4 linked regions of the Saccharomyces cerevisiae S288C genome follow. The gene in region 1 interacts genetically with each later gene. Each region holds a gene or a part of one and is shown on either strand. Other genes may lie near its edges.

Region 1 (8,172 bases):
ATCCTCAATCTCTGCCATTTGACAGGATTATCAACGCCAATATTGGTAATCCTCAGCAACTACAACAGAAACCTCTGACTTACTACAGACAGGTCTTGTCTCTCTTACAATACCCAGAACTATTAAACCAAAACGAACAGCAGCTAGTTGATTCGAAATTGTTTAAACTAGATGCCATTAAACGTGCAAAGAGTTTAATGGAAGATATCGGTGGTTCTGTTGGTGCTTACTCTTCTTCTCAAGGTGTAGAAGGTATAAGGAAAAGTGTCGCTGAATTTATAACGAAGAGGGACGAAGGCGAGATATCATACCCAGAGGATATTTTCCTAACTGCTGGTGCATCCGCAGCTGTCAATTACTTGTTATCAATTTTCTGTAGAGGGCCAGAAACGGGTGTCTTGATTCCAATTCCTCAATATCCATTATATACCGCTACTCTAGCTTTGAACAATTCTCAAGCTTTACCATACTATTTAGATGAGAATTCAGGTTGGTCAACTAATCCAGAAGAAATTGAAACTGTCGTCAAAGAGGCTATACAGAACGAAATCAAACCTACAGTTCTAGTGGTTATCAATCCAGGTAATCCTACAGGAGCTGTCCTATCACCTGAGTCTATAGCTCAGATTTTTGAAGTCGCAGCCAAGTACGGTACAGTAGTGATAGCTGACGAAGTTTATCAAGAAAATATCTTCCCGGGCACCAAGTTCCATTCTATGAAGAAAATTTTGAGACATTTACAGAGGGAACATCCAGGTAAATTCGATAATGTTCAGCTAGCTTCTTTGCATTCGACTTCTAAGGGTGTTTCTGGTGAATGTGGTCAAAGGGGTGGCTACATGGAACTCACTGGATTCAGCCATGAGATGAGACAAGTTATCTTGAAACTAGCCTCGATTTCATTGTGTCCCGTTGTCACAGGTCAAGCTTTGGTTGATTTGATGGTTCGTCCACCAGTGGAAGGGGAGGAATCATTCGAGTCGGACCAAGCAGAACGTAACTCCATCCATGAAAAGTTAATTACAAGAGCAATGACACTGTATGAGACATTTAACTCTTTAGAAGGCATTGAATGTCAAAAGCCTCAAGGTGCCATGTATTTATTCCCTAAGATAGACTTACCTTTCAAGGCAGTTCAAGAAGCTCGCCACTTAGAGTTAACTCCGGATGAATTTTATTGTAAGAAGTTGTTAGAATCTACTGGCATTTGCACTGTTCCCGGTTCTGGGTTTGGTCAAGAACCTGGTACTTACCATTTAAGAACAACATTTTTGGCACCTGGTCTGGAATGGATTAAGAAATGGGAAAGTTTCCATAAAGAATTTTTTGACCAATACCGTGACTGAATAAAAGGGGGCAGAACAGTCTTCAATAAACATTTAAATAGCTAGTTTATTATAATAATGTGATCGTTTCTTTCTTCCACAACTCACATATAGTTATTTGATATTATCGCATCTTCGCTTCTCTATGCCATGTTTCCATCAATACTTATGTTTTATTTAATACATATTTGTATCAGTATATCATATCATTTCATCTTCTTTTGCTTCGATTTGTAATGTTTGTGCGTATAAAATCAATTGCGTAGTTCGAACACCCGTTAATCCTTTACTTCTTACCAATGGCACCTAACTTTGCTTTTCTTTCGACCTTACTACGACAGATTTAGATTCAAACGATGACGCTAATATCAATAGCCAACATGGAAGCCAACCTATACAAAGTACAAACCAACTCCAACATTTCAAATCCAACCATGCTGAAACCAGTTTGTTTATTATATCAAATCCATGAAATTCATCATCAAAAAATAGTCCGAATAAGGTTATTGAAATAAATGGATTTGTCAAAATTAATAGTACTAAATTTTTTAGTTTTTGTTTCTGTTGTTGGGGGGTTGCTGGCGTTGTATCCATGTGATTCTCGACGAGCTCTATCTCATCTTTCGGCTCAGTTTTTATTGGGTTAGAGGATTGAGTTGTCACCTCATGTTCGCTAGAACTTTCAACAATGGTCTTCACAAATGTCATAGGAAATGCCAATGTGCCGATCAGTAAAGCCATTGCAAAGTTTATCATTAGCAAAGATGTTGAAACCAAACTGAAATATAAAAAAGCAACATTTTTCAACCTGTATGATAGTGGTTCTGAGATGTGAATTTTTCTGGAAAGTATCAAAGGTAAAAAACAAGATGCCATGCTAATTGTCATCAATAATCCCGATGAAGGTATTAGAAGAAACGCTTGTGAAACAACAAATGATATCACCAATGACACGAACCAAACCAACAACGCTACCAAATTATACTCGGAAAATAAGGATATATTTGCATAAGCATTGTTTATAAATGCATTTAATGAACTTATGGCGAATGCTATAGATAAAGCCACAGCGCTTGGCAAATAACTACTAATGGATACGAACTGACGTGGTGCTAATAACAAATAAAAGAAGAACGATTGGTGAAATTTTTCCAAAAGGTTATTAATAGAGCGAAACATTGCTTCGGGTATACGTCCAAATGTAGTAATATCATGACCACTGTTTCCATGTGCTTTCAATGTTACAGATTGAATCCTCCAGCCGCTAAATGCCTCGTTACCATGGGGCTTTTTAACACCGGACAACGCCCAATCCCTTATTCCCAGGCATAATATTTTTAATCTTGACCAGAAATTATTATTAGTTAACTGATCACTGGGTAGACCGTGCAAAGAAACTTTCATACCTTCATGTTCCGTAATGGATATAGCGATGTTGACAAGATCCAAATTGGGCAGCTCACCATTCAGACCGTCGTATGAGATTTCTACATACTCGAAGAAATCTTCCGTACTCGAATAATCCAACACAACAGCAGCTTCAATGGAACCACCAGTCAAATCTAAGGAAGTATGGTATGCCTCAACCCATGATCTTAATGCTGCACGAGGATTTTCGCTGAAGACAACAATTATATTCTTGGACCATACTGGCCAACGTGAGAAAAATCTTGCTAAAGATACACCCAAAGCTGCGCCGCCAATATTGAATTCATCATCTGAATTAAACCATGGAACGGCAAGCACCATCGCTTCTGTTCCATCACCCCTAGGAGCGTGCATTACACCGTACAATGTTTCTCCATATTGTTCATTTTCGTAAATAGCAGTCTTAGTACCAAATTCTTGTAACCAAGAACCCATCAAATTGTTTCTTTCCATAGAAGTCATGTTTACCATTTCTTTAATTTGAGATCGATAGCCCCTCAAAATGTTCCATTCAGATTCTCTAAAGTAACTATACGCTTGTGAAGGCATCAATGCATTCTCAGAAATGTATGTTCTTCTGTACTGTCCATCCATAGGCAGAATAGCTATAGAAATAAACCCAAATAGAGCGCATAGCATGGAAATAACTGGTAATAAGGCGATTATACGCGGGACAAGCCCCATATCAACAATCCTTCGATGCAACTTCTCCAATAAGGCCATTCTTGGTGTATTATACGCGTCTTTGGTCTGTCAAGTCCTTTTATAAGACAGCAAATGTCATTTCTTTCTAAGTGTAGCCGGCGTGTATTGTTTATGACTTTTTTTTCTACCGCTGGCATTAAAGTGAGAGGTTCACGATGCGTTCCCAATAACTTCGTAGGGATGGCGATCAATATACAAATAGAGGGAAGCCAAACTCCCCACTATAAAGCTGTTGGCACGGTTTTATAAGCTTCAACCTTTCTAGGCTACAGGATACTCAAAAAAAATTACTGCGGTATTATCAACATAGTGCTCTTTGGAAAAAAAAAAAGAATAGTACTCATTAAAGCCACCTGACTCAAGTCTTCTATTGACGGTAATAAGTTAGCAAGCATGGAAGCTATTTCACAATTACGTGGTGTTCCATTGACACACCAAAAGGACTTTAGCTGGGTCTTTTTAGTAGATTGGATTCTCACGGTAGTAGTATGTTTGACAATGATATTCTACATGGGAAGAATCTATGCATACCTTGTAAGTTTTATATTAGAATGGCTACTATGGAAACGAGCGAAAATCAAGATAAATGTTGAGACACTTCGTGTCTCCTTACTAGGTGGTCGAATACATTTTAAAAACCTTTCCGTAATACACAAAGATTATACAATTTCGGTATTAGAGGGTAGTTTAACATGGAAATACTGGCTTTTAAATTGCAGAAAAGCAGAATTGATAGAGAATAACAAGTCTTCTTCTGGCAAAAAAGCAAAGCTTCCCTGTAAAATTTCCGTAGAATGTGAAGGTCTAGAAATTTTTATTTACAACAGAACAGTGGCGTACGATAATGTTATAAACTTACTATCAAAAGATGAACGCGATAAATTTGAAAAATACCTTAATGAGCATTCTTTTCCTGAACCTTTTAGCGATGGAAGTAGTGCTGATAAATTAGATGAAGATCTAAGCGAATCTGCATACACAACGAACTCTGATGCATCAATTGTTAATGACAGGGACTACCAAGAAACAGATATCGGCAAACATCCAAAGCTACTGATGTTTTTACCAATTGAGCTTAAATTTAGCCGCGGTTCCCTACTGTTAGGAAACAAATTCACGCCATCTGTTATGATTCTAAGTTATGAAAGTGGAAAAGGCATAATAGATGTTTTACCTCCAAAAGAGCGATTAGATTTATACAGAAATAAAACACAGATGGAATTCAAAAACTTCGAAATTTCTATCAAACAAAATATTGGTTACGATGATGCTATTGGATTGAAGTTTAAAATAGATAGAGGGAAAGTGTCAAAGTTATGGAAAACGTTTGTACGAGTCTTTCAGATAGTAACCAAGCCTGTTGTACCGAAAAAGACTAAAAAAAGCGCAGGCACATCAGATGACAATTTCTATCATAAATGGAAAGGTTTATCTCTTTATAAGGCTTCTGCGGGCGACGCTAAAGCAAGTGATTTAGATGATGTTGAGTTCGATTTGACGAACCATGAATATGCTAAATTTACATCAATTTTAAAATGCCCAAAGGTCACAATTGCATATGACGTGGATGTTCCGGGCGTTGTGCCACATGGTGCACATCCGACAATACCTGATATTGATGGACCAGATGTGGGCAATAACGGAGCACCTCCAGATTTTGCTTTAGATGTTCAAATTCACGGAGGATCCATCTGTTACGGACCTTGGGCTCAAAGACAAGTCAGTCATCTACAAAGAGTTCTATCACCGGTAGTTTCAAGGACAGCCAAACCTATAAAAAAACTCCCGCCAGGTTCTAGAAGAATATATACACTTTTCAGGATGAATATATCAATAATGGAAGATACTACTTGGCGTATACCGACGAGGGAAAGTAGCAAAGACCCCGAATTTTTGAAACACTACAAAGAAACTAATGAAGAATATAGGCCATTTGGATGGATGGATCTCCGATTTTGTAAGGACACCTATGCAAATTTCAATATAAGTGTTTGTCCTACAGTGCAAGGTTTTCAGAATAATTTCCATGTTCATTTCCTGGAAACCGAAATTAGGTCAAGTGTTAATCACGATATTTTGTTAAAAAGCAAGGTATTCGATATTGATGGGGATATTGGATATCCATTGGGTTGGAATAGCAAAGCTATATGGATAATTAACATGAAGTCAGAACAATTAGAGGCGTTTCTGCTACGTGAGCATATAACTTTAGTTGCAGATACGCTTTCAGACTTTTCCGCTGGTGATCCTACGCCTTACGAACTTTTTAGACCATTCGTATACAAAGTCAATTGGGAAATGGAAGGATATTCCATTTACTTAAACGTCAATGATCACAATATTGTTAACAATCCGTTAGATTTTAACGAAAACTGTTATTTATCCCTTCATGGTGATAAGCTTTCAATTGATGTCACGGTACCCCGTGAGAGTATTTTGGGGACATACACAGATATGTCCTACGAGATCTCAACTCCAATGTTCAGAATGATGTTAAATACCCCCCCTTGGAATACATTGAACGAATTCATGAAACATAAAGAAGTGGGGAGAGCATACGACTTTACAATTAAAGGTTCTTACCTTCTCTATTCCGAGTTAGATATTGATAATGTCGATACGCTAGTCATAGAGTGTAACAGCAAGAGTACAGTACTTCACTGCTATGGGTTTGTCATGAGGTATTTAACAAACGTAAAGATGAATTACTTCGGTGAATTTTTTAATTTTGTGACGTCAGAAGAGTACACAGGTGTCCTTGGCGCTAGGGAAGTCGGAGATGTCACTACGAAAAGCTCGGTGGCAGATTTGGCATCTACTGTAGATTCAGGGTACCAAAATAGCAGTCTAAAGAACGAATCTGAGGATAAAGGTCCTATGAAAAGGTCAGATTTGAAAAGGACTACCAACGAAACTGATATTTGGTTCACATTTTCGGTTTGGGATGGTGCTCTGATATTACCAGAAACGATTTACAGTTTTGATCCATGCATTGCACTACATTTTGCCGAACTTGTAGTGGATTTCAGAAGTTGTAATTATTATATGGACATAATGGCGGTTCTCAACGGGACTTCAATAAAGCGGCACGTTTCAAAACAAATAAATGAAGTATTTGATTTTATACGTCGTAATAACGGAGCTGATGAGCAAGAGCACGGATTGCTTTCGGACCTCACCATTCATGGACATAGAATGTATGGATTACCACCCACAGAACCTACCTACTTTTGTCAATGGGATATCAATCTCGGAGATTTATGCATTGATTCAGATATTGAATTTATAAAGGGATTCTTTAATTCCTTTTATAAGATAGGTTTTGGCTACAATGACTTGGAAAATATATTATTATATGACACTGAGACCATTAATGATATGACCTCGCTAACCGTGCACGTTGAAAAAATAAGAATAGGCCTTAAAGATCCGGTGATGAAATCTCAATCAGTTATTAGTGCTGAATCGATATTGTTTACTTTGATCGACTTTGAAAACGAAAAATATTCACAAAGAATAGACGTGAAAATTCCAAAATTGACAATTTCGTTAAATTGCGTGATGGGCGATGGCGTAGACACATCATTTCTCAAATTCGAAACAAAATTAAGATTTACAAACTTTGAGCAATACAAGGATATCGATAAAAAAAGATCAGAACAACGCAGATATATAACAATACACGATTCACCCTATCATAGGTGTCCTTTTCTTCTTCCGCTGTTCTATCAGGATTCGGATACATACCAAAACCTGTACGGGGCTATAGCACCATCTTCGTCTATCCCAACTTTACCTCTTCCCACTTTGCCTGATACTATAGATTATATCATTGAAGATATTGTGGGCGAGTATGCTACCCTTCTGGAGACCACAAATCCATTCAAGAACATATTCGCAGAAACTCCATCAACTATGGAGCCTTCAAGAGCCAGCTTCAGTGAAGATGATAATGACGAAGAAGCGGACCCTTCAAGCTTCAAACCTGTCGCTTTTACAGAAGACAGAAACCACGAAAGGGATAACTATGTTGTTGATGTTTCATATATTCTGTTGGATGTCGACCCGTTGCTTTTTATTTTCGCTAAGAGTTTATTAGAACAGCTTTACTCTGAAAACATGGTACAAGTCTTAGACGATATTGAAATTGGGATTGTGAAACGATTAAGCAACCTTCAAGAAGGGATCACTTCTATTTCAAACATTGATATCCATATTGCTTATCTAAATTTAATCTGGCAAGAGACAGGTGAGGAAGGTTTTGAGCTCTATTTAGATCGTATTGATTATCAAATGAGTGAAAAGTCTCTAGAGAAGAACCGAACAAATAAATTATTAGAAGTAGCAGCTTTAGCAAAGGTAAAAACTGTCAGAGTGACTGTTAACCAGAAGAAAAATCCAGACTTGTCTGAAGATCGTCCCCCTGCACTGTCGCTAGGGATTGAGGGTTTCGAAGTATGGTCTTCTACAGAAGATAGACAAGTTAACTCATTAAACTTAACGTCATCAGATATTACCATAGACGAATCTCAAATGGAATGGCTGTTTGAGTACTGTAGTGACCAGGGAAATCTTATTCAAGAGGTTTGCACTTCTTTTAATTCTATTCAGAACACCAGAAGTAATTCAAAGACAGAACTCATTTCAAAGCTCACAGCCGCAAGCGAATATTATCAAATTAGTCATGATCCTTACGTCATAACAAAACCTGCTT
Region 2 (7,131 bases), on another chromosome or scaffold:
TTTTTAAGACCTCGGCAGCATCCTCTGCACCTAGTAGTTGTATCTCACTTATCCGGACTTCTGACAGATCGTTGCTATCATTAATAGCGCCAGATCCAGTCAAAAATGCCCTTTTTTTAGACTCTGAACTAAAGTCATCACTTGTCAAAAAGAGTAGAAAATCTTTGTCCTTTTGTAGAACCGGATCTTGACATATTTTTTTTAACATGCTTTCCATTTGAAATCTTCTATTTTCAATGAAATTTTCCTTAAAACTGCCTACTGATTGCTTCTCTGGTGGTGGTGGTATTACTTTACCCCAATGGTTGTTCTGCAATTGACGATATAGCCACCTGAAATCTCTGTAACGCCTGCTTACCTGTGCATATTTTAGCTCAAGTAATGATGATTCACTGATTACAGTATACTCCACATGAATGGATGTTAGCTCTCCTACTTTGACCGGGTCTTTAACTTCAACTTTGAAAGCCACAGCCTTTTCGGTTGGTGGCACCTTTGAGCCAATCTTGGTTTTTCCAAACTTTTCTGAGTTTTCCTCGACCTCAGCAGGACTTGAAATATTAGCACCTGTCTGAGGAAGATTGTATAAAGGCCTGTCCACTTGCTCAAGGATATTTTTTTCAACAGAAGCTGTGAACTTGCCCTCATTGTTTTCTCTCCTTTCATTCCTATCGTCCAATGGCTCTTCAACAAATTCATTCTCTTTTTCAGCTTTCTTTAAGGGATCAGTAAAGGGTGTTTTGATGGTATCATCGGAAGCAGTTGTTCTCTTCGCTTTCAGAGAATGGTTGCGTTTGGAGTTTCTTTGAGCTCTGGCGGAATCAAACAGAATTCGTGGTTTGCCGGATCTTCTTCCAGAGATGCTTTTTGAAGTATTTGGTGAAGTGTTAGCATCGTATATCGTATCGTCAAAAACTAAGGGAGAGTTGGCGTTTCCAGTGAACAATGCGCCACCGGATTCTCTTGTTGCAATAAATTGTGTAGTGCTATTCTTGAGATCAGCAATCGGATCCTGTTCAGGGGCTAAAGAATTAATAAGATCGTCAGCTTTGGAATTGTCATGCTCCTCTAGTTGCGGATTACCAGCCACCGACAAACCAGGGTCTTTCCATTCTGGCGCACTATCCAAGTCTATCTTGTCCGCAAATGAAGCTGTGGTCTCTAAAAGCTCATTGTCTTTTCTTTCTTCATTTGTAGATATTTGACCAATTGATTCAATTGAATTTGAAACGAGGCTCTGAGTTTTATCTCCCTCATGATTTAGTTCGTCCCAAACAGGTGCTTCTAGATTATCCTCGTAGTCCATGGCTTGTTATTGCAGGATGTATGAAAGTTTATAAAATCCCTGCTGCAAATTAAGAGATATATGGTTTCGTTCACTACGTAGTTATAGTAAATAACCTTTGCTTAACCCATTTTTCAAAGCATTTTTAAAATTTACTGTTATCACTTAGTTGTTCTTAGCGGACAACTTCCGAAAAGTGAAATTTCATTTTTCAAAACGACAATAGTGGTATAGAATTATAGAATAACATACGTTAAAAATAGCTGAAGTTCATTACAGTTCTGTAGTGGTCAGCAAGGCATTTGACGTCTATTGGATAGCCTACGATGAAAGGTGATCGTTCGAGGCAAAATATGGCTGTGACAAAGAAGGCAAAGTTAAAAAAAAATGACGAGCCAAAAAAGGTTTTGAAGACTGCCGCGACCGAAAAAGGTGAGGGATCCAAGCGCTACTCCTTATGGAATTTCTGGATAAGCACATTGTTTTTAAAATTACTATTGATTCCTGACTACTTCAGTACAGATTTTGACGTTCATAGAAATTGGCTGGCAATCACCAATAAATTGCCCATCAGCGAATGGTATTATGAGCACACTAGTCAATGGACATTGGATTATCCGCCATTTTTTGCTTATTTTGAATGGTTTTTATCGCAATTTGTTCCTAAATCTGTACGTGATGACGGTTGTTTGGATATAGTGGAGATCGGAAAGTTCGGTTTGCCAACAATCGTTTTCCAACGACTCACTGTCATCTTCAGCGAAATTCTTCTATTTGTCATCCTTCAAATATACATTAATACTACAAAGCTAAGTGAAAGATCTCAAAGTTTTGTGGTTGCTTCTAGCATTGTACTATCACCCGGGTTTTTAATAATAGATCACATTCACTTCCAATATAATGGTTTTCTTTTTGCGATTCTAATAGGCTCCATTGTCGCCGCCAAGAATAAGAGATACATCTTGTGCGCTGTTCTGTATACTACAGCCATATGTTTCAAGCATATATTTTTATATTTGGCGCCATGTTATTTCGTGTTTTTATTGAGAGCATACGTTCTCAATGTCAACAATTTCAAGTTTAAAAGTTACAAAGATTTTTTGTTCCTGATAAGATGGGCAAATCTTTTGAAGTTGGCTACCGTTGTTGTTGGAATTTTCACTATTTGTTTCCTTCCATTTGCTCATCAAATGCCGCAAGTGTTGAGCAGGTTATTCCCATTCTCAAGAGGACTGACGCATGCATATTGGGCACCAAATTTCTGGGCGTTGTATTCTTTTATGGATAAAATACTCACTACGGTAATGTTGAAATTACCGTACGTCCACACTTTTGCTACAAAATTTATTAAACCTCCTCTGATCCCTCAGAATATCAAGGAAATTAATGAAAGGCTCGCGGCAAACAACAATGGAAGTAAAGGTCTAGTTCAAGACGTATTTTTTGTTATTCTCCCTCAAATTCCTCCAAAATTAACGTTTATTTTGACGATATTTTACCAGGTCTTAGCAGTACTTCCACTTTTGTTTGATCCATCGTTCAAAAGATTTGTTGGCTCGTTGACTCTCTGTGGGTTGGCATCGTTTTTGTTCGGGTGGCATGTGCATGAGAAAGCTATAATGCTAGTCATCATTCCGTTCACATTTCTTGTTGGATTTGATCGTCGTCTTTTGGTACCGTTTATGTTAGTTGCCTCAGCTGGTTATGTTTCCTTGTATCCTCTTCTGTACAAAGGCCAAGATTTTTTCATTAAAACATTATACACTTATGTTTGGTGTATAATTTATTTTGCCGCTTTTAGAAAAACTACGAAGATTTCTTCAAGTGTAGAAAGAAGAATCTTTTTCTTGGATAGGTTGGCATTAACGTACATCTTTTCATTGTTACCAATCGTCACCGTATTACAAATATTGGATGAAGTCAAGTGGAGATATTCATTTTTGCAAAAATTTGAATTCTTAGGATTAATGATATATAGTGTCTATTGTTCATTAGGTATAATCAGCTCGTGGTTTGCCTTATCGTGGTTATATAATTTTGACGAATTACTATGGCAGTGATACAATATCGCTTCCCTAGGACGTTAAAAAAAAAGTGATATAAAATTATTTATATATGAATCGATTTTAGAAATATTTATTGTACATTTTCACCTACTAACTAATTGAATAACGATTAGATTTCGATTTATGCAGTCCCTCACGCCAGTTCCTCATTATTTTTCGTTTACGTATTGTGCGTTTTACACTTGAATTAAAATAACATTACATTAAACTGAATGAAGGTCAACTCCATTCACATGCATCAGTTGAAAGGTATATAAGTACTACTTCAATATATTATCTATCAGCTCTGGGAAAATGCTTTAAGAAGGAAAAAAGGTAAGTAAACTATTTTTTAACGCTTCATGATTATTGAATGGTCCTTTTGGCTCATATCGTTTTCATGAATCTATGACTATTTTCACTGATCATCGATTAATCTTTTCAAGGCAGTTCTAGCATCATCCTGTTTGTTGCTGTACGGGTTTTGTTTTAGTGAATCGTCAAAGCTAGAGGGAGCTTTCCCGGTTCCAACAGGGAACCCGTGTAAATTAGGAGTTGCACTGTTCGAAATTGAAGTACCTGGTATGTATTTGGTTCCTAATGAGCCATTCATGGTTTGCTGGATTAATGGAGTGCATTCAATCAAAGTGGGTAATTGAAATTCTTGATTTCTAGGAGTTGAAGGTCCATGGGCAGCGGTAAATAAATTCGCCGGCGGCTGTAAGTTTTCGCTTTTGGTGTTACCTAGCATATTTGCTACCCCTGTTGTGGTTTTTTCTTTGTTGAAGTAAATAGATGACACCCGAGACATAGATTGATGAGGTGGGGAAGCGATATTGATTTGTGGCGGGGAAGAGTTCATGTTTATGTGAGGTGGGGGTATTTGAAATTGACGCTGTTGTTGTTGCCTTTGAGTAGGAGAATTGGATTGCGATTGCACTTGCACTTGCGCCTCCAATTGAGCTTGTAATTGTCTATGGACGTTGCCGCTATCCGATGCGGTGGCTACAGTGGTGCCATTTACCATGACATTAGAGCTTCTTGGTGGGCTGAATAATCCAGGTGAACCAAAGTTTATCCATGAAGGAGGTGTGTTAAAACATTTTTGACGTCTGGGCGTATTAGATACATTGAACAGCATTTCTGGCCAATTCCCATCTGCGTCGTCAGTAAGCAATAACGGGTCACCACTTGAAAACTTAAACACGAATTCCTGCTGTTGTTCGTTAGATGCAGTAGTCGACTTGGGCAACATTTTGTTTCGAGGTGATAAGAAAACTCCCGGGCTATTAGTCAAGGTAAGTAAAGTATTAGCATCCGCGATATTGCTAATGGAATTACCGTTCTGATTGTTATTATTGCTGGCACCCACAGCATTTGTAGATTTGGATATAGTATCACTTAATGATACGGAATTTAGTGCAACATTGGGAGTAAATCCCATCCTGAATTGTAGAGAACTCTTTGGAGTGGATGGGGGCTTAAGTTGCGCGCTTGAAGGGGGTGATTGTGGTGGTTGCGAAAGCAGTATATTATTGTTTCTAGCACTGCCTATTGGAGAAGCTGAAGTTTCTATGATAGTCGGCAATTCTGTGTCGATGATGTCAGATCTGCTTGGTTTCGCTGGAGGTGCTTCGGGGAGCGTATCAGTATCACAATATTTCTCATTCTTCATCTGTTTTAAGAGAGAAAGAATACGTCTCTTCTCAAACTTGGGTGCATTTTTCTTGCTTCCTTTGTGAATTTTTTCATTTTGCATGATCTTTTTATTATTATTGTTCATTAAATGAGACGATTTTGACGATGGAGAGAAAGGCAAAGATCCTGCAATAACGGCCTTCCCACTTTCGGTAATGGTTAAAGAAAGTTTGAATTGTTCCTGTGAAGGAAACATGTAGTCATTTTTCTTTTGGAAAGCTGGAGAAGACGTCATGATAGGCGGCGAACTCTGAAGAAAGGTTTTCCTTGTTTCAGAAAACACCGTGTTATTATAGCTGTCATTCGAAGACGGGGTAGAGATCGGCGTAGAGCCATTAGTGCTCGATTTCTTGGTGGGAGTAGAAAGAAGAACGCCCCTGTATCTGCCCTTTCTCGTAGTTGCCGCCAAATTATGATGATGATCGATGCTGAGTCTTCTTTTATTCGGGGATGGACTAGATTGCCCCACTTTCATCAAAGGTTTGGCAAAACTGTGAGGCCCCTGCTTCTGAACCTGCATTGAAGAATGCGCCATGGGGCTTTGTAGGGGATTGGGATAATCTTTGGTGATGGGAGGCCTGCCTCTTTTTTTGATCATGCTTTTATCCATAGTGAATATTTTTCACGAAGTATTCTTGAGATATTTTTATTCCCCTTTTCAACTACACAACCCAGGTTGGTGAATATATACTTAATCAAATCCCTTTAATCACCTTGGAATGTGCAACCAGCTCTTCTTCTCAAAATTTAAAAAAACTTCCGAGAATGAAAAATGAACTAACGAAAAATTTTCAAGACCGTCTTAAAGATCCCTTATCGGTGCTGCAAAGGGGAAGCAGTTATTAAGAGAATTATTAGTATTTGCTGGCTGTGCCTTGATTGTATTAATTGATGGAACAGCGAGAGAAATTTTAGAGGTATGAAACCAGACAATAGAACGGGACTAATATGGAAAAAAACCGATTTGAGGGATTTCCTATTAGGGAAAAATAAGTGTTTGCCTCTTTAAGGAAAAAATACTAGCGCGTTACGCGGCGACTTCAAAGATCGACCATAACGGTCTCGCTCGCATCCTCAACGATTGTGTCATATTATTAATGGAACGAAAGAGAAGGTGGATGGCCAAAGCCTTGGAACAGTGGTAGATTTACACTAAGTTTACTTTCTTAATAGATAATAGGAATATATATGTACATATATAAATAAAAAATAAATAAAATAAATATTATAGAAGAACACCAAGACGCCGGTGTTGGGCATCCAAACAAAATATTGTAAAGTTTCTTTCTTGCAATCTTCTACCTTTATTTTTATTTTTTATTGCTGTTAGGTTGTTAACATTTAAACATCTTTTTTTTTTTTTTTTTTTTTTTTTATATTATTATTCGTGATATTTCGCTTGCAGCAGTATCTCAGTACATGAAGGAGACACTATTGAAGTGAGACGTTGTTTACAAGCAGTGAAAAAATAAATAGGGTGGCCGAAAAAAAAGAAACGAAACCAGAGAAATAAAAAGGAAAAGTAGGTAAATTTTTGTTACCTTTCACTCTCTTTCTGAAAACAATTCAGTATGCTCTACTAATATTCTTTTTTTTCATTTCTTTTATTATGTTTTTTGTTTATTGGTTTTTTTTTTTCCGTAATTTAAATAATAGTGGTTTTCATTTTTTTGTCAACTACTTTCTTGGTTTTGGTGGATTGAAAACGAATTTTCTGGTTTTGATACCGGCCCATTTGAACTTCTTCACCCAGATAGATAGCAAATACAAAGATGATAAGATTATCACCGTTTTCAAACCCAATCTCTTTCTTTCGTCATGTTCAGGTTCGGCACACCAGTTTAAAAAGGTGGTAACGTCCTTTGCCATTTGAGATGTCGTTGCGGGGGTACCATCTTCGTACTCAACCATGTCATCAAACAAGACTCTTGCCATTGCAATGGAACCACCTGGGAAGTAAGGGTTATAATTAGAACCTGGTGGTAAAGCCACACCAGCAGGAGGTTCATCAGGATAACCGGTCAACAAAGAGAAAATGTAGTCACAACCACCGTGTCTAGCTTTCACGATCAAAGATAGATCAGGTGGCAAGGCACCTTGATT
Region 3 (7,534 bases), on another chromosome or scaffold:
CAAGATAGCAAAGACCATGGACAAAACAAAAATTTTGTTAAAATTGGCAAATTGAATTTGGTGGATTTGGCAGGCAGTGAAAACATCAACAGATCGGGTGCGGAGAATAAAAGGGCTCAAGAAGCTGGCCTAATAAACAAATCGCTGCTAACACTAGGCCGTGTTATCAACGCACTCGTTGATCATTCTAACCATATACCTTACAGAGAATCTAAGCTAACAAGATTGCTACAAGACTCTTTAGGTGGTATGACGAAAACATGCATTATCGCAACTATATCACCTGCGAAAATATCCATGGAAGAGACTGCAAGTACGCTAGAATATGCAACGAGAGCCAAATCAATTAAGAATACTCCACAAGTAAATCAGTCTTTATCGAAGGATACATGTCTCAAAGACTACATTCAAGAGATTGAAAAATTAAGAAATGATTTGAAAAATTCAAGAAACAAACAAGGTATATTTATAACTCAAGATCAGTTGGACCTTTACGAGAGCAATTCTATCTTGATTGATGAGCAAAATCTAAAAATACATAACCTGCGAGAACAAATTAAAAAATTCAAAGAAAACTACCTGAACCAATTAGATATCAATAATCTTTTACAGTCTGAAAAGGAAAAACTAATTGCCATAATACAGAATTTTAATGTCGATTTTTCTAACTTTTACTCGGAAATCCAAAAAATTCACCATACTAATCTCGAACTAATGAATGAAGTCATACAACAGAGAGATTTTTCACTAGAAAATTCTCAAAAACAGTATAATACGAACCAGAACATGCAATTAAAAATCTCTCAACAAGTTTTACAGACTTTGAACACTTTACAGGGCTCTTTAAATAATTATAACTCTAAATGTTCCGAAGTTATCAAAGGCGTCACCGAAGAACTAACCAGGAACGTAAATACCCATAAGGCGAAACACGATTCTACTCTCAAATCGTTATTAAACATTACTACTAACTTATTGATGAATCAGATGAACGAACTGGTGCGTAGTATTTCGACTTCATTGGAAATATTTCAGAGTGATTCTACTTCTCACTATCGTAAAGATTTGAATGAAATCTACCAATCACATCAACAATTTCTAAAAAATTTACAAAACGATATTAAAAGCTGTCTTGATTCGATAGGCAGTTCAATTCTAACTTCCATAAACGAAATATCGCAAAATTGCACCACTAACTTGAATAGTATGAATGTTTTAATAGAAAACCAGCAGTCAGGATCATCGAAATTAATTAAAGAGCAAGATTTAGAAATAAAAAAACTGAAAAACGATCTGATCAATGAGCGCAGGATTTCTAACCAATTCAACCAACAGTTGGCTGAAATGAAGCGATATTTTCAGGATCACGTTTCCAGGACGCGTAGTGAATTCCACGACGAACTTAACAAATGTATCGATAACCTAAAAGATAAACAATCTAAGTTGGATCAAGATATCTGGCAGAAGACGGCCTCTATTTTCAACGAAACAGATATCGTAGTTAATAAAATTCATTCCGACTCAATAGCATCCCTCGCTCATAATGCTGAAAACACTTTGAAAACGGTTTCTCAGAACAATGAAAGCTTTACTAACGATTTAATCAGTCTATCACGCGGAATGAACATGGACATATCCTCCAAACTGAGAAGTTTGCCCATCAATGAATTTTTAAACAAGATATCACAAACCATTTGTGAAACCTGTGGCGATGATAACACAATCGCATCAAATCCAGTATTGACCTCTATTAAAAAATTTCAAAATATAATTTGTTCAGACATTGCCCTAACAAATGAGAAGATCATGTCATTAATAGATGAAATACAATCACAAATTGAAACCATATCTAATGAAAACAATATCAATTTGATTGCAATAAATGAAAATTTTAATTCTTTGTGCAATTTTATATTAACTGATTACGATGAGAATATTATGCAAATCTCAAAAACACAAGATGAGGTGCTTTCTGAACATTGCGAGAAGCTACAATCACTGAAAATACTGGGTATGGACATTTTCACTGCTCACAGCATAGAAAAACCCCTTCATGAGCATACAAGACCTGAAGCGTCAGTAATCAAGGCTTTACCCTTATTGGATTATCCAAAACAATTTCAGATTTATAGGGATGCTGAAAATAAGAGCAAAGACGACACATCTAATTCTCGTACTTGTATACCAAACTTGTCAACTAATGAAAATTTTCCTCTTTCACAATTCAGTCCAAAAACCCCAGTGCCAGTGCCTGATCAACCTCTACCAAAAGTTCTTATACCGAAAAGCATAAACTCGGCCAAGTCCAATAGATCAAAGACCTTACCAAATACAGAGGGTACTGGACGAGAATCGCAGAACAATTTGAAGAGAAGATTTACCACCGAGCCAATATTGAAGGGAGAAGAAACTGAAAATAATGACATACTGCAAAATAAAAAACTTCATCAATAAGGGGATATAGCCATTGTAAAATATTTGTATCACTATATGCATTGAGTGTAAACTGTTGCACCTATAAAGAATGAAAACAATCTAGTATGTGTACTTACATAATTACACAGTCTTTTTTTTTTTTACCTTGTTTATCCTTCTTGTTCTTCAAGCTTGTAGGTTTTTTTGACTCAGTTTTTACTGCAGGAAAATCTTTACGAATCATGTTTGAACTGCCCATATTTGATAAACTAACTTCTTGCTTTGCTGCCATCGACTGCTCAGCAACTTCCCTTGACATTCCCTTTGCTGAGGAAGAACTTTTCCTGATGCTTGTATCAGAACCCGTTTTAATACCATTTCTATTCGTGTTTGAATTCATGTTAATTTGCAAACCTTGTGGCTCACGATCACGTTTTGGATTTCCAGTAAAGAATGTTTCAGATTTTGAAGAAACTCTTGAATTTGACCCTACGTTACTTGTTTGACTGTCCACAGTAGAGAATAAATTCAAAGTACTGATACTTTTATTTTTTTTATGCTGTTTTTTACCAATGCTGGCTAGTCCACCGTCCCTTGAGCGTAGCTTATTAATCGCCCTCTTGTCCTCGTTCCCTGCAGCTTTCTCGTACCATTTCCATGCGTATTCCATGTTACGATCACAGCCCTTGCCATGCTCATAGAAGTAGCCCAGAGTGAATTGGGCCTTTGGCAAACCAGCATTAGCTGCACGCAAGGCCCATTGAAAAGCCTCATTTTCATCTTTTTCAAAAGCAGGTTCTGCTCCCAGTAAGTACCATGCACATAAACCTAACATTGCCACAGAATCGCCTTTTAACGCTGCCTGCGTATAATAGTGTACAGAAAGTGATGTATCCTGCCCTACTGTATCATTACCTGTTTCATAAATCTGTGCCAACAAAGTTGCTGAAGGAACATGCCCTAAACTTGCTGCTTGAATATATAGTTCCATTGCATACTTTTCATCCGGAATGACAACATCTAAGAACCCTTCATGATAAATCTTAGCCAATTCGTATGGTGCTGCGGCCGTCAACTCATTAGCTCTTGCTGCAGCCCTTGATAACCATTTTACCCCATTTAATTTAGTATTAACGTCGGTTGGAAGACCCATTCTGCCGTAGAATGAATAAAGTCCCAATTTATACATTGCTGAGGGATGATTCCTGCTAGCCGCAAACTTTAAAAAATTGACTGACTTACGAGAATCTCTTGTTGTTCCTAGTCCTTCTTCTAAGCAATGCGATGCTCTGTAAGCACTTTCTATATGACCATGCTTTGCAGCTGCTTGAAATAAGACAAATGCTTCTTTATTTTCAATCTTCCCAAATGCTCCGGATGAGTAGCCGTCCGCTAATAAGTATTGGGCATCTGAATAACCCTTTATGCTCAGTTTCTTCAAATAACTTTGCGCTTCTTTCAAAAACTGAAGTTTTAAGTCAGATTGGCTGACATTTCCTTCCTTGTCACTATCTTGAACAAGAGCATTGGAAGATTCAATAGTCAGTGCGGTTTGTAACATATATTGCGCATACTGGAATAACACTTCAGGATCTTTAGATTTTTTAACGTTTTGTCTATACATTTCTATTGTTTTTAGCCTTGGAACTAAGGAAGTATTATTTTTACCACCCAAATATCGACTGATCATCTGATGTGACAAATCTGCTACAGATTCATTAGTAGCCGTTAATTGGGTATCACTGCTACCATTCAACAGGTACATGTGAGACAAATCTACAGAACGAGTTCTTTTCTTTATTTGCTCCTTCGTAAGAGATGTACTCGAATTTGTCTGTCTTAATGCTCCCGGTGACGGAGAATTTGTAGGAGTACTTCCCAAAGAACTTAAGGAAGTATTATTTGAATTATTAAGATGAAGCTGTGGGGGTGGGACTGGAACGAAATCTTCCTCTTGACTATTGCCTATATCGTTTGATAGTAGAGGTACTGACGCAGCTCTAAGATGCTCATTGATAAGCGGTTGGTTTGCCGACCGCTTAGGAAGGTCTGCGGTACTGAAGTCTTCATTGTCCCTGTTTTCCCTATTCTCTTTATTATCTGAAAAATCTTGACCTACCTTCAACGAACTGTTTTGAAACTGTAGGCCCCTGTTATCAAAATTTATATGCTGTGATTGCATTAAATGCTTCTTATATGGATGTACCTGCGGTGAACTTGCCATTTTTTATCCTTTTATTTTAACTTTATCACCAAAAAAGACGAGAACCTGGTAGTATACAATGGAAGGCTTATTAACAGCAAGTCTAAAGTCAAGTGCCAACACCTAGTTTGTCTCTACTCTTAAATCTTACATCATCCTCGAGAGGGTCTGCAGAAAGAATTTTTCGTTCTTTTTTTAGCAAGTCAAAACGCGAAGTGAAACGTGGGAAAATATAACGATGACCTTTCTTAAAACATGCATGAAGACTCGTGAAAGTCATATGTACATATGTCGTATAGATTTGCAGATAGTTGCAACAAATAATTAGCGATTAGTTATGGCCTATACATGGCAGCTAAGTGCGATGGCATGTTCAAATGTATTATATTAAATCAAATGAACTTAAAATGCGATGTTTGGGTGCAAAATATCTATAGATGATAGAGACGGTTCATTGATCTTACGGATCAACTTTGAGATCAGTAAGGCTGACTAGATGGTACAATTTTGTGCAGTCAATGGACTATTAAGGGATCGCAAAGAGGTATGTGCGCCAGTTTAAACGAGGTAAAAAAGAATGACACCTATGGGGTCTCACAAAAGGGCTACAATGACAATTTCAGTGAAAGTGAGGGCGTCCTTCATGGTAGTAAGTCGATGCCCACTAGCATGAAAAATATGCTACAGTCTCCCACGATGGTCAACATGTGTGATATTTTACAAAACAAGGAAGCTGCTAATGACGAAAAACCTGTGATACCTACTACGGATACCGCCACTGCGGGGACTGGTACTGAAGATATTAGCTCCACTCAATCCGAGGAAACTGATCAGAATAGTCATCTTATTGCCTCAGAGATCTTGGAAGGCACTTTCAAAGATGTATCTTACAAGGAATATGCAAATTTCTTGGGAAACGATAACAATAATCAAGTCTTGACTGAGTTTGTAAAGTTATTGAGTCCTTTGCCGTCGTCACTATTAGAAACGCTTTTCAATTTATCGAAAAGTATATATTTCATTGCAGAAGCGCAAAATATCGACCGGATACTAGAGTGCTTGAGCATAGAATGGATAGCTTGCCACCCGAACACACATTGGAAGTCAGGCTATAAGTCATGTCATATAGTCTTATTTTCCCTGTTGATCCTTAATTCGGATTTGCACAACAACTTTCAAGTTGACCATAAAAAGATTAAGTTTTCCATGGTTGCATTTATCAACAATACACTGAGGGCACTAAGAGAGGAAAATGAATACGAAGAATTGAAAATATACTCCCGCGAACATTTGATCATCGAAGAACTTTCCGAATACTATAAAACGTTAAATGAAACGCCTTTACCGTTATGCACAGAATCTAGAACATCAATAAATATATCAGATAACCAATCTTCCTTGAAAAGGTTCTCTACTCTAGGATCACGGGAATTTAGTACATCAAATTTACGTAGTGTTAACTCTAATTCTACTACACTATATTCAAGAGATGGTCAAGTATCTGTACGAGAAATGAGCGCAAAATCAAATAAAAACTTTCACAATAATCACCCCATGGATGCACTCTACCTTAAAGAGTCTTTTGATGACGGTTTAATTACCGAAAACGGCTCCAGTTGGTTCATGGACGATTTAATTCTTATAAGCAAGAAATCTTTACCACGTAAATATTCTAAAAGAGACAAAGATCAAGTGGCGGCACCAAAAATGACCTCTAAGAGAAACAAATCGTTCTTCGGATGGCTAAAACCATCTAAAACGACTACACTTATTGAGCACACATCTAGAAGGACTTCTTTATCGTATTTGAATAAGGATTCTGAATGGGAGAGGGTGAAAATACAGGTCAAGGAGGGCAGAATTTTTATTTTCAAAATTAAACCAGATGTTAAGGATATCATCCAATCAAGTGAAACAGACAGTGCTACCATCGACTATTTCAAAGATATCAGTAGCTCTTATTTTGCTTACTCACTGCTTGAAGCTGAAGCACATGTCGTGCAAGATAATATAATTATAGGTAGTGGAGCAATGAAATCAAATGTGTGTAACAAAAACACCAAGAGGAAAAGTGGCAACTTTACCGTTAGTTTTCCAGAGAATATCAACGGACCAAAGCTTGTTCTGGAGTTCCAGACGAGAAGTGTTGAAGAAGCCCACAAGTTTATGGACTGTATCAACTTCTGGGCAGGTAGGATTTCTCCAGTTCCTTTAACACAATTCGAAGCCGTATCTAACGCAGAATATGGATGGAGTGACAAGATCTTGACAGAGCACGCTTCCCTCAATCTTAAAAATATTGTTGTAAGTGAATGGAAGCCACTATTGGGGCTAGAGCTACTATACGAAGATGCGAAAGATGTAGAGATGGTCGAACTAAAAGAAAGGCTAAAGGAATTGATGAACTTCACCAGACAGCTTGGTATATGGATAGATAAACATAACGAAATAAAGGATAAGCTGGTCGAAATTTGGAGCTTTGACGATAACTATTTTGAAGCAGTCATGAATAATTGGAATTCGAGATATTTGTATATGAATAATCAATATAAGAAACGACTGAGCTACTTGAAAGCTTTGCAAAAAGCCATGGGTTCTGTTCAGTTCTAAGTATATTTAAAGATATAAATATAAAGACTGCGCTGAAGAAATATAAACTTGAAAACTGTACTCTGCCTTTTATTTACAAGGGATATTGAGATGATTTGTGTGAATGAAGTAGCGACAGAAAAAAAGCTTTTATTTCGAGTTCGCATCATTGTCACTTTCCTGCTTTTTCTTGGCGTACTGTCTATCTAAGATAGTCTTTAATATAGCGTCCTCGCCATATTCTTCTTCCTCAATTTTCTTCCATCTCTTTTCTACATCAGCTCTCTTTATTCTACTTTCAATGACAGCACGTTTCTTGTTATTCAA
Region 4 (6,500 bases), on another chromosome or scaffold:
AAGAATTGGGAAACGAAACTACAACTCAATCCCTTCTCGAAGATACATCAATCCACCCCTTATATAACCTTGAAGTCCTCGAAACGATCAGCTAATCTAAATGGCCCCCCTTCTTTTTGGGTTCTTTCTCTCCCTTTTGCCGCCGATGGAACGTTCTGGAAAAAGAAGAATAATTTAATTACTTTCTCAACTAAAATCTGGAGAAAAAACGCAAATGACAGCTTCTAAACGTTCCGTGTGCTTTCTTTCTAGAATGTTCTGGAAAGTTTACAACAATCCACAAGAACGAAAATGCCGTTGACAATGATGAAACCATCATCCACACACCGCGCACACGTGCTTTATTTCTTTTTCTGAATTTTTTTTTTCCGCCATTTTCAACCAAGGAAATTTTTTTTCTTAGGGCTCAGAACCTGCAGGTGAAGAAGCGCTTTAGAAATCAAAGCACAACGTAACAATTTGTCGACAACCGAGCCTTTGAAGAAAAAATTTTTCACATTGTCGCCTCTAAATAAATAGTTTAAGGTTATCTACCCACTATATTTAGTTGGTTCTTTTTTTTTTCCTTCTACTCTTTATCTTTTTACCTCATGCTTTCTACCTTTCAGCACTGAAGAGTCCAACCGAATATATACACACATAATGGCATCCACCGATTTCTCCAAGATTGAAACTTTGAAACAATTAAACGCTTCTTTGGCTGACAAGTCATACATTGAAGGGTATGTTCCGATTTAGTTTACTTTATAGATCGTTGTTTTTCTTTCTTTTTTTTTTTTCCTATGGTTACATGTAAAGGGAAGTTAACTAATAATGATTACTTTTTTTCGCTTATGTGAATGATGAATTTAATTCTTTGGTCCGTGTTTATGATGGGAAGTAAGACCCCCGATATGAGTGACAAAAGAGATGTGGTTGACTATCACAGTATCTGACGATAGCACAGAGCAGAGTATCATTATTAGTTATCTGTTATTTTTTTTTCCTTTTTTGTTCAAAAAAAGAAAGACAGAGTCTAAAGATTGCATTACAAGAAAAAAGTTCTCATTACTAACAAGCAAAATGTTTTGTTTCTCCTTTTAAAATAGTACTGCTGTTTCTCAAGCTGACGTCACTGTCTTCAAGGCTTTCCAATCTGCTTACCCAGAATTCTCCAGATGGTTCAACCACATCGCTTCCAAGGCCGATGAATTCGACTCTTTCCCAGCTGCCTCTGCTGCCGCTGCCGAAGAAGAAGAAGATGACGATGTCGATTTATTCGGTTCCGACGATGAAGAAGCTGACGCTGAAGCTGAAAAGTTGAAGGCTGAAAGAATTGCCGCATACAACGCTAAGAAGGCTGCTAAGCCAGCTAAGCCAGCTGCTAAGTCCATTGTCACTCTAGATGTCAAGCCATGGGATGATGAAACCAATTTGGAAGAAATGGTTGCTAACGTCAAGGCCATCGAAATGGAAGGTTTGACCTGGGGTGCTCACCAATTTATCCCAATTGGTTTCGGTATCAAGAAGTTGCAAATTAACTGTGTTGTCGAAGATGACAAGGTTTCCTTGGATGACTTGCAACAAAGCATTGAAGAAGACGAAGACCACGTCCAATCTACCGATATTGCTGCTATGCAAAAATTATAAAAGGCTTTTTTATAAACTTTTTATAATTAACATTAAAGCAAAAACAACATTGTAAAGATTAACAAATAAATGAAAAAAACAACGAAATAACTTAGGTTTTAGGCTAAAAAAAACAGAAGGAATTTTGAACGATAAACTTTTCGACTGCACACGAAACATTATTACTAATTTGTGTAACCACTATATAAGGAATCGTGTTTATTAATTGAATTTATTCCGGGAATATTCAAGTTATGTATATCTCTTTTCATATTCTTAAATACACATACTCATAATATCTTGTCGAAAATACGCGGTGTAGGGAGTTATGGTGGATAACTTTTTCACGATTAGAAGAAAAGGAAAATTTCATTATTCGTAGCTTAACATGGCAAAAACGAGAAAGACATATAATCAAAACGTGAGTTTCCTGTGGAAAAAAAAAAAAGGGAACCTCTGGTTACGATGATATACCTGCGTGAAAAAGGACAGTTATTACCAATACATACAAAGGCTTAATAAGTGTAAAATATATATCTGCCGAGACCATTACTCATTACACCTAGAATGGAGCAAAATGGCCTTGACCACGACAGCAGATCTAGCATCGATACGACTATTAATGACACTCAAAAGACTTTCCTAGAATTTAGATCGTATACCCAATTAAGTGAAAAACTGGCATCTAGTTCTTCATATACGGCACCTCCCCTGAACGAAGATGGTCCTAAAGGGGTAGCTTCTGCAGTGTCACAAGGCTCCGAATCCGTAGTCTCATGGACAACTTTAACACACGTATATTCCATCCTGGGTGCTTATGGAGGGCCCACGTGCTTGTATCCGACAGCCACGTATTTTTTGATGGGCACTTCTAAAGGATGCGTACTCATTTTTAATTATAATGAACATTTGCAGACAATCCTAGTGCCGACCTTATCTGAGGACCCTTCTATTCACTCAATAAGAAGTCCAGTGAAATCAATTGTCATATGTTCCGATGGTACTCATGTAGCTGCCTCATACGAGACCGGAAATATATGCATTTGGAACTTGAACGTAGGGTATAGAGTGAAACCCACTTCTGAACCAACAAATGGTATGACCCCAACGCCTGCCTTACCGGCAGTCTTACACATCGATGACCATGTGAACAAGGAAATCACAGGGTTAGACTTTTTTGGTGCTCGGCATACAGCCCTGATTGTTAGTGATAGGACAGGTAAAGTATCACTCTATAACGGTTACAGAAGAGGCTTTTGGCAGTTGGTGTATAATTCAAAAAAAATTTTAGATGTGAACTCTTCCAAGGAGAAATTAATAAGGTCAAAGTTGTCTCCACTAATATCACGGGAGAAAATTTCCACTAATTTGTTGAGTGTACTCACAACTACACATTTTGCCCTTATTTTATTATCGCCACACGTTTCTTTGATGTTTCAAGAAACTGTTGAACCCTCAGTACAAAATTCTCTAGTCGTGAATAGCTCTATTTCATGGACTCAAAACTGTTCCAGGGTTGCTTATTCCGTAAATAATAAAATTTCTGTTATTTCCATATCTTCATCAGACTTCAATGTTCAGTCCGCTAGCCATTCTCCTGAATTTGCAGAATCTATATTATCCATTCAATGGATTGACCAGCTCCTACTTGGTGTTTTAACCATATCGCACCAATTTTTGGTATTGCACCCCCAACATGACTTCAAGATCCTGTTAAGATTGGATTTTCTGATTCACGATTTGATGATCCCACCTAATAAATATTTTGTAATAAGTAGAAGAAGTTTCTACCTGTTAACAAACTACTCATTTAAAATTGGCAAATTTGTGTCTTGGTCAGATATTACTTTAAGACATATTTTGAAAGGCGACTACTTGGGTGCATTGGAGTTCATAGAATCACTTTTGCAACCTTACTGTCCACTGGCAAACTTGTTGAAGCTAGATAATAATACGGAAGAGAGGACTAAGCAACTTATGGAACCATTTTACAATCTGTCCTTGGCTGCCCTAAGGTTTCTTATAAAAAAAGATAATGCCGACTACAATAGGGTTTACCAATTATTAATGGTAGTTGTTCGTGTTTTGCAGCAATCTTCCAAAAAACTAGACTCAATTCCTTCTCTAGACGTCTTTTTGGAACAGGGTCTGGAGTTCTTTGAATTGAAGGACAACGCGGTATATTTTGAAGTTGTAGCAAATATTGTTGCCCAAGGATCAGTTACGTCAATTTCCCCAGTTCTTTTCAGGTCCATAATTGATTACTATGCTAAGGAGGAGAATTTAAAAGTAATTGAAGACTTAATCATCATGTTAAATCCTACTACGCTTGATGTTGATCTTGCCGTCAAACTATGCCAAAAGTATAATTTGTTCGATTTATTAATATATATTTGGAACAAGATCTTTGATGATTATCAAACCCCAGTGGTGGACTTGATATACAGGATTTCTAACCAAAGTGAAAAATGTGTGATCTTCAATGGTCCTCAAGTACCTCCTGAAACGACTATATTTGATTACGTAACGTATATCCTTACTGGCAGGCAATATCCACAAAACTTGTCTATATCACCAAGTGATAAATGCTCCAAAATACAAAGGGAACTTTCAGCATTTATTTTTAGTGGCTTCTCCATAAAATGGCCGTCGAACAGCAATCATAAACTTTACATATGCGAAAATCCAGAAGAAGAGCCAGCATTTCCTTACTTTCACCTTTTATTGAAATCGAATCCGAGTAGGTTCTTAGCAATGCTCAATGAAGTGTTTGAAGCGTCCTTGTTTAACGATGACAATGACATGGTTGCATCAGTTGGAGAAGCAGAATTGGTAAGTAGGCAATATGTTATTGATCTACTATTGGATGCTATGAAAGATACGGGAAATTCAGACAACATCAGGGTACTTGTTGCAATTTTCATTGCAACTAGTATATCAAAATATCCTCAATTTATTAAAGTGTCTAACCAAGCCCTCGACTGCGTTGTTAATACCATATGCTCCTCTAGGGTTCAAGGTATATATGAAATTTCTCAAATAGCTCTGGAGTCGCTTTTACCCTATTATCATTCAAGAACAACAGAAAATTTTATACTGGAACTAAAAGAAAAAAATTTCAATAAAGTTCTTTTCCATATCTATAAAAGTGAAAATAAGTACGCCAGTGCGCTTTCACTTATTTTAGAAACTAAGGACATCGAAAAAGAATATAACACGGACATTGTATCCATAACCGACTACATACTCAAAAAATGCCCACCTGGAAGTTTAGAATGTGGCAAAGTTACTGAAGTTATCGAGACGAACTTTGATCTTCTTCTCTCAAGGATCGGTATCGAAAAATGCGTCACAATTTTTTCTGACTTTGACTATAATCTTCATCAAGAAATCCTGGAAGTAAAGAATGAGGAGACTCAGCAAAAGTATTTGGATAAGCTTTTTTCTACGCCAAATATCAACAATAAGGTCGATAAGCGTTTAAGAAATTTACACATCGAATTGAACTGTAAATACAAGAGCAAAAGGGAAATGATTCTTTGGCTTAATGGTACAGTTCTCAGCAACGCTGAGAGCTTACAAATTCTGGACTTATTGAATCAAGACTCTAATTTTGAAGCTGCAGCTATAATTCACGAACGCTTGGAAAGTTTTAACCTAGCAGTCAGGGATTTATTAAGTTTTATTGAACAATGTCTAAATGAAGGGAAAACAAATATATCTACTTTATTGGAATCTTTGAGGAGGGCCTTTGATGATTGTAATTCTGCTGGTACCGAGAAAAAATCGTGTTGGATATTATTGATTACATTCCTGATCACTCTATATGGGAAATATCCTTCACACGATGAAAGGAAAGATTTATGTAATAAACTACTTCAAGAAGCATTTTTGGGATTGGTTAGGTCCAAGAGTTCCTCTCAGAAGGATTCAGGTGGGGAATTCTGGGAAATAATGTCTTCTGTTCTTGAGCACCAAGACGTTATTTTAATGAAAGTTCAGGATTTAAAGCAACTGCTACTGAATGTTTTTAATACTTATAAATTGGAAAGATCTCTTTCTGAGTTGATTCAAAAGATTATAGAGGATTCTTCGCAAGATCTTGTTCAACAGTATAGAAAATTTCTGAGTGAAGGGTGGTCTATACACACCGACGACTGCGAAATCTGCGGGAAAAAAATATGGGGAGCTGGTCTGGACCCATTACTTTTTCTAGCTTGGGAAAATGTACAGCGCCACCAAGATATGATTAGTGTAGATCTCAAAACTCCCCTTGTCATATTCAAATGTCACCATGGCTTTCACCAGACTTGCCTCGAAAACTTGGCCCAGAAACCCGATGAATATTCTTGTTTAATTTGCCAGACGGAATCTAACCCAAAAATAGTATAACATTTCTAAATATTTAATACAACTTTGGTTACATAAAAGTAAAATTTATACACCTCATTTCATTATGTAGATTCATATATAGAATACCAATTATGATTGACCCAATAGCCATCAAAATCAGTAGTTATTAATACTTGTCTTTCTAGGAGCCATTTGCATATTTCTGATATTTCATGAAGCGAAAGTACTTCACGACACCTAGATTGCAATCTACTCAATGTTATCCCTGGATGAAATATTATTTCGTTAACGACCATAGTAACTACCTGCTTCCATATGTTTGGCCTAATGGAACCAGATCCATTCACCCATAAACGAGAAAATGGTTTGCCCAGTGGAACTTTGACAGCAGACTTCCTTGCTGTATTCAATTTTGTCTGAGAATTGGCATATATAATCAGAGGGGGAGTTAATGTTCGTATTTCAAATCTCCTTGAAGTATACGTTAAAGGTCGAACATTTCTCACCATTGGAATTACATCCATATTCAATAGCTCTCC

Evidence for each region.
Region 2: mutations in CSF1 (region 1) and ALG8 together harm fitness more than expected from each alone (negative genetic interaction), as found in Saccharomyces cerevisiae (4 studies listed by BioGRID, with this or other methods).
Region 3: mutations in CSF1 (region 1) and SKT5 impair growth when combined (synthetic growth defect), as found in Saccharomyces cerevisiae (4 studies listed by BioGRID, with this or other methods).
Region 4: mutations in CSF1 (region 1) and VPS8 together harm fitness more than expected from each alone (negative genetic interaction), as found in Saccharomyces cerevisiae (4 studies listed by BioGRID).

The regions. Positions count from the first base shown.
Region 1 is NC_001144.5:311,411-319,582, reverse strand, and holds the start of CSF1 (Csf1p), read left to right. Parts: upstream 1-3,851; coding exon 3,852-8,172. Other genes in the region: alanine transaminase ALT1, read left to right, coding at 1-1,346; GPI-anchor transamidase subunit GAA1, read right to left, coding at 1,632-3,476. UniProt on the Saccharomyces cerevisiae protein: Tube-forming lipid transport protein which provides phosphatidylethanolamine for glycosylphosphatidylinositol (GPI) anchor synthesis in the endoplasmic reticulum. Required for the glucose and other nutrients uptake at low temperature.
Region 2 is NC_001147.6:447,943-455,073, reverse strand, and holds ALG8 (dolichyl-P-Glc:Glc1Man(9)GlcNAc(2)-PP-dolichol alpha-1,3-glucosyltransferase), read left to right. Parts: upstream 1-1,611; coding exon 1,612-3,345; downstream 3,346-7,131. Other genes in the region: VAM10 (Vam10p), read left to right, coding at 861-1,205; VPS5 (sorting nexin 1), read right to left, coding at 1-1,306; MSA1 (Msa1p), read right to left, coding at 3,749-5,638; ubiquinol--cytochrome-c reductase catalytic subunit CYT1, read right to left, coding at 6,706-7,131. UniProt on the Saccharomyces cerevisiae protein: Dolichyl pyrophosphate Glc1Man9GlcNAc2 alpha-1,3-glucosyltransferase that operates in the biosynthetic pathway of dolichol-linked oligosaccharides, the glycan precursors employed in protein asparagine (N)-glycosylation.
Region 3 is NC_001134.8:102,768-110,301, forward strand, and holds SKT5 (Skt5p), read right to left. Parts: upstream 4,640-7,534; coding exon 2,549-4,639; downstream 1-2,548. Other genes in the region: KIP1 (Kip1p), read left to right, coding at 1-2,454; Arf family guanine nucleotide exchange factor YEL1, read left to right, coding at 5,165-7,228; CMC2 (Cmc2p), read right to left, coding at 7,358-7,534. UniProt on the Saccharomyces cerevisiae protein: Activator of the chitin synthase CHS3 which polymerizes chitin, a structural polymer of the fungal cell wall.
Region 4 is NC_001133.9:141,532-148,031, forward strand, and holds VPS8 (CORVET complex membrane-binding subunit VPS8), read left to right. Parts: upstream 1-2,175; coding exon 2,176-6,000; downstream 6,001-6,500. Other genes in the region: EFB1 (translation elongation factor 1 subunit beta), read left to right, coding at 643-722, 1,089-1,629; transcription factor TFIIIC subunit TFC3, read right to left, coding at 6,063-6,500. UniProt on the Saccharomyces cerevisiae protein: Required for localization and recycling of the CPY sorting receptor (VPS10) to the late-Golgi compartment. Involved in the retention of proteins to the late-Golgi. Plays an integral role in the complex vacuolar protein sorting process.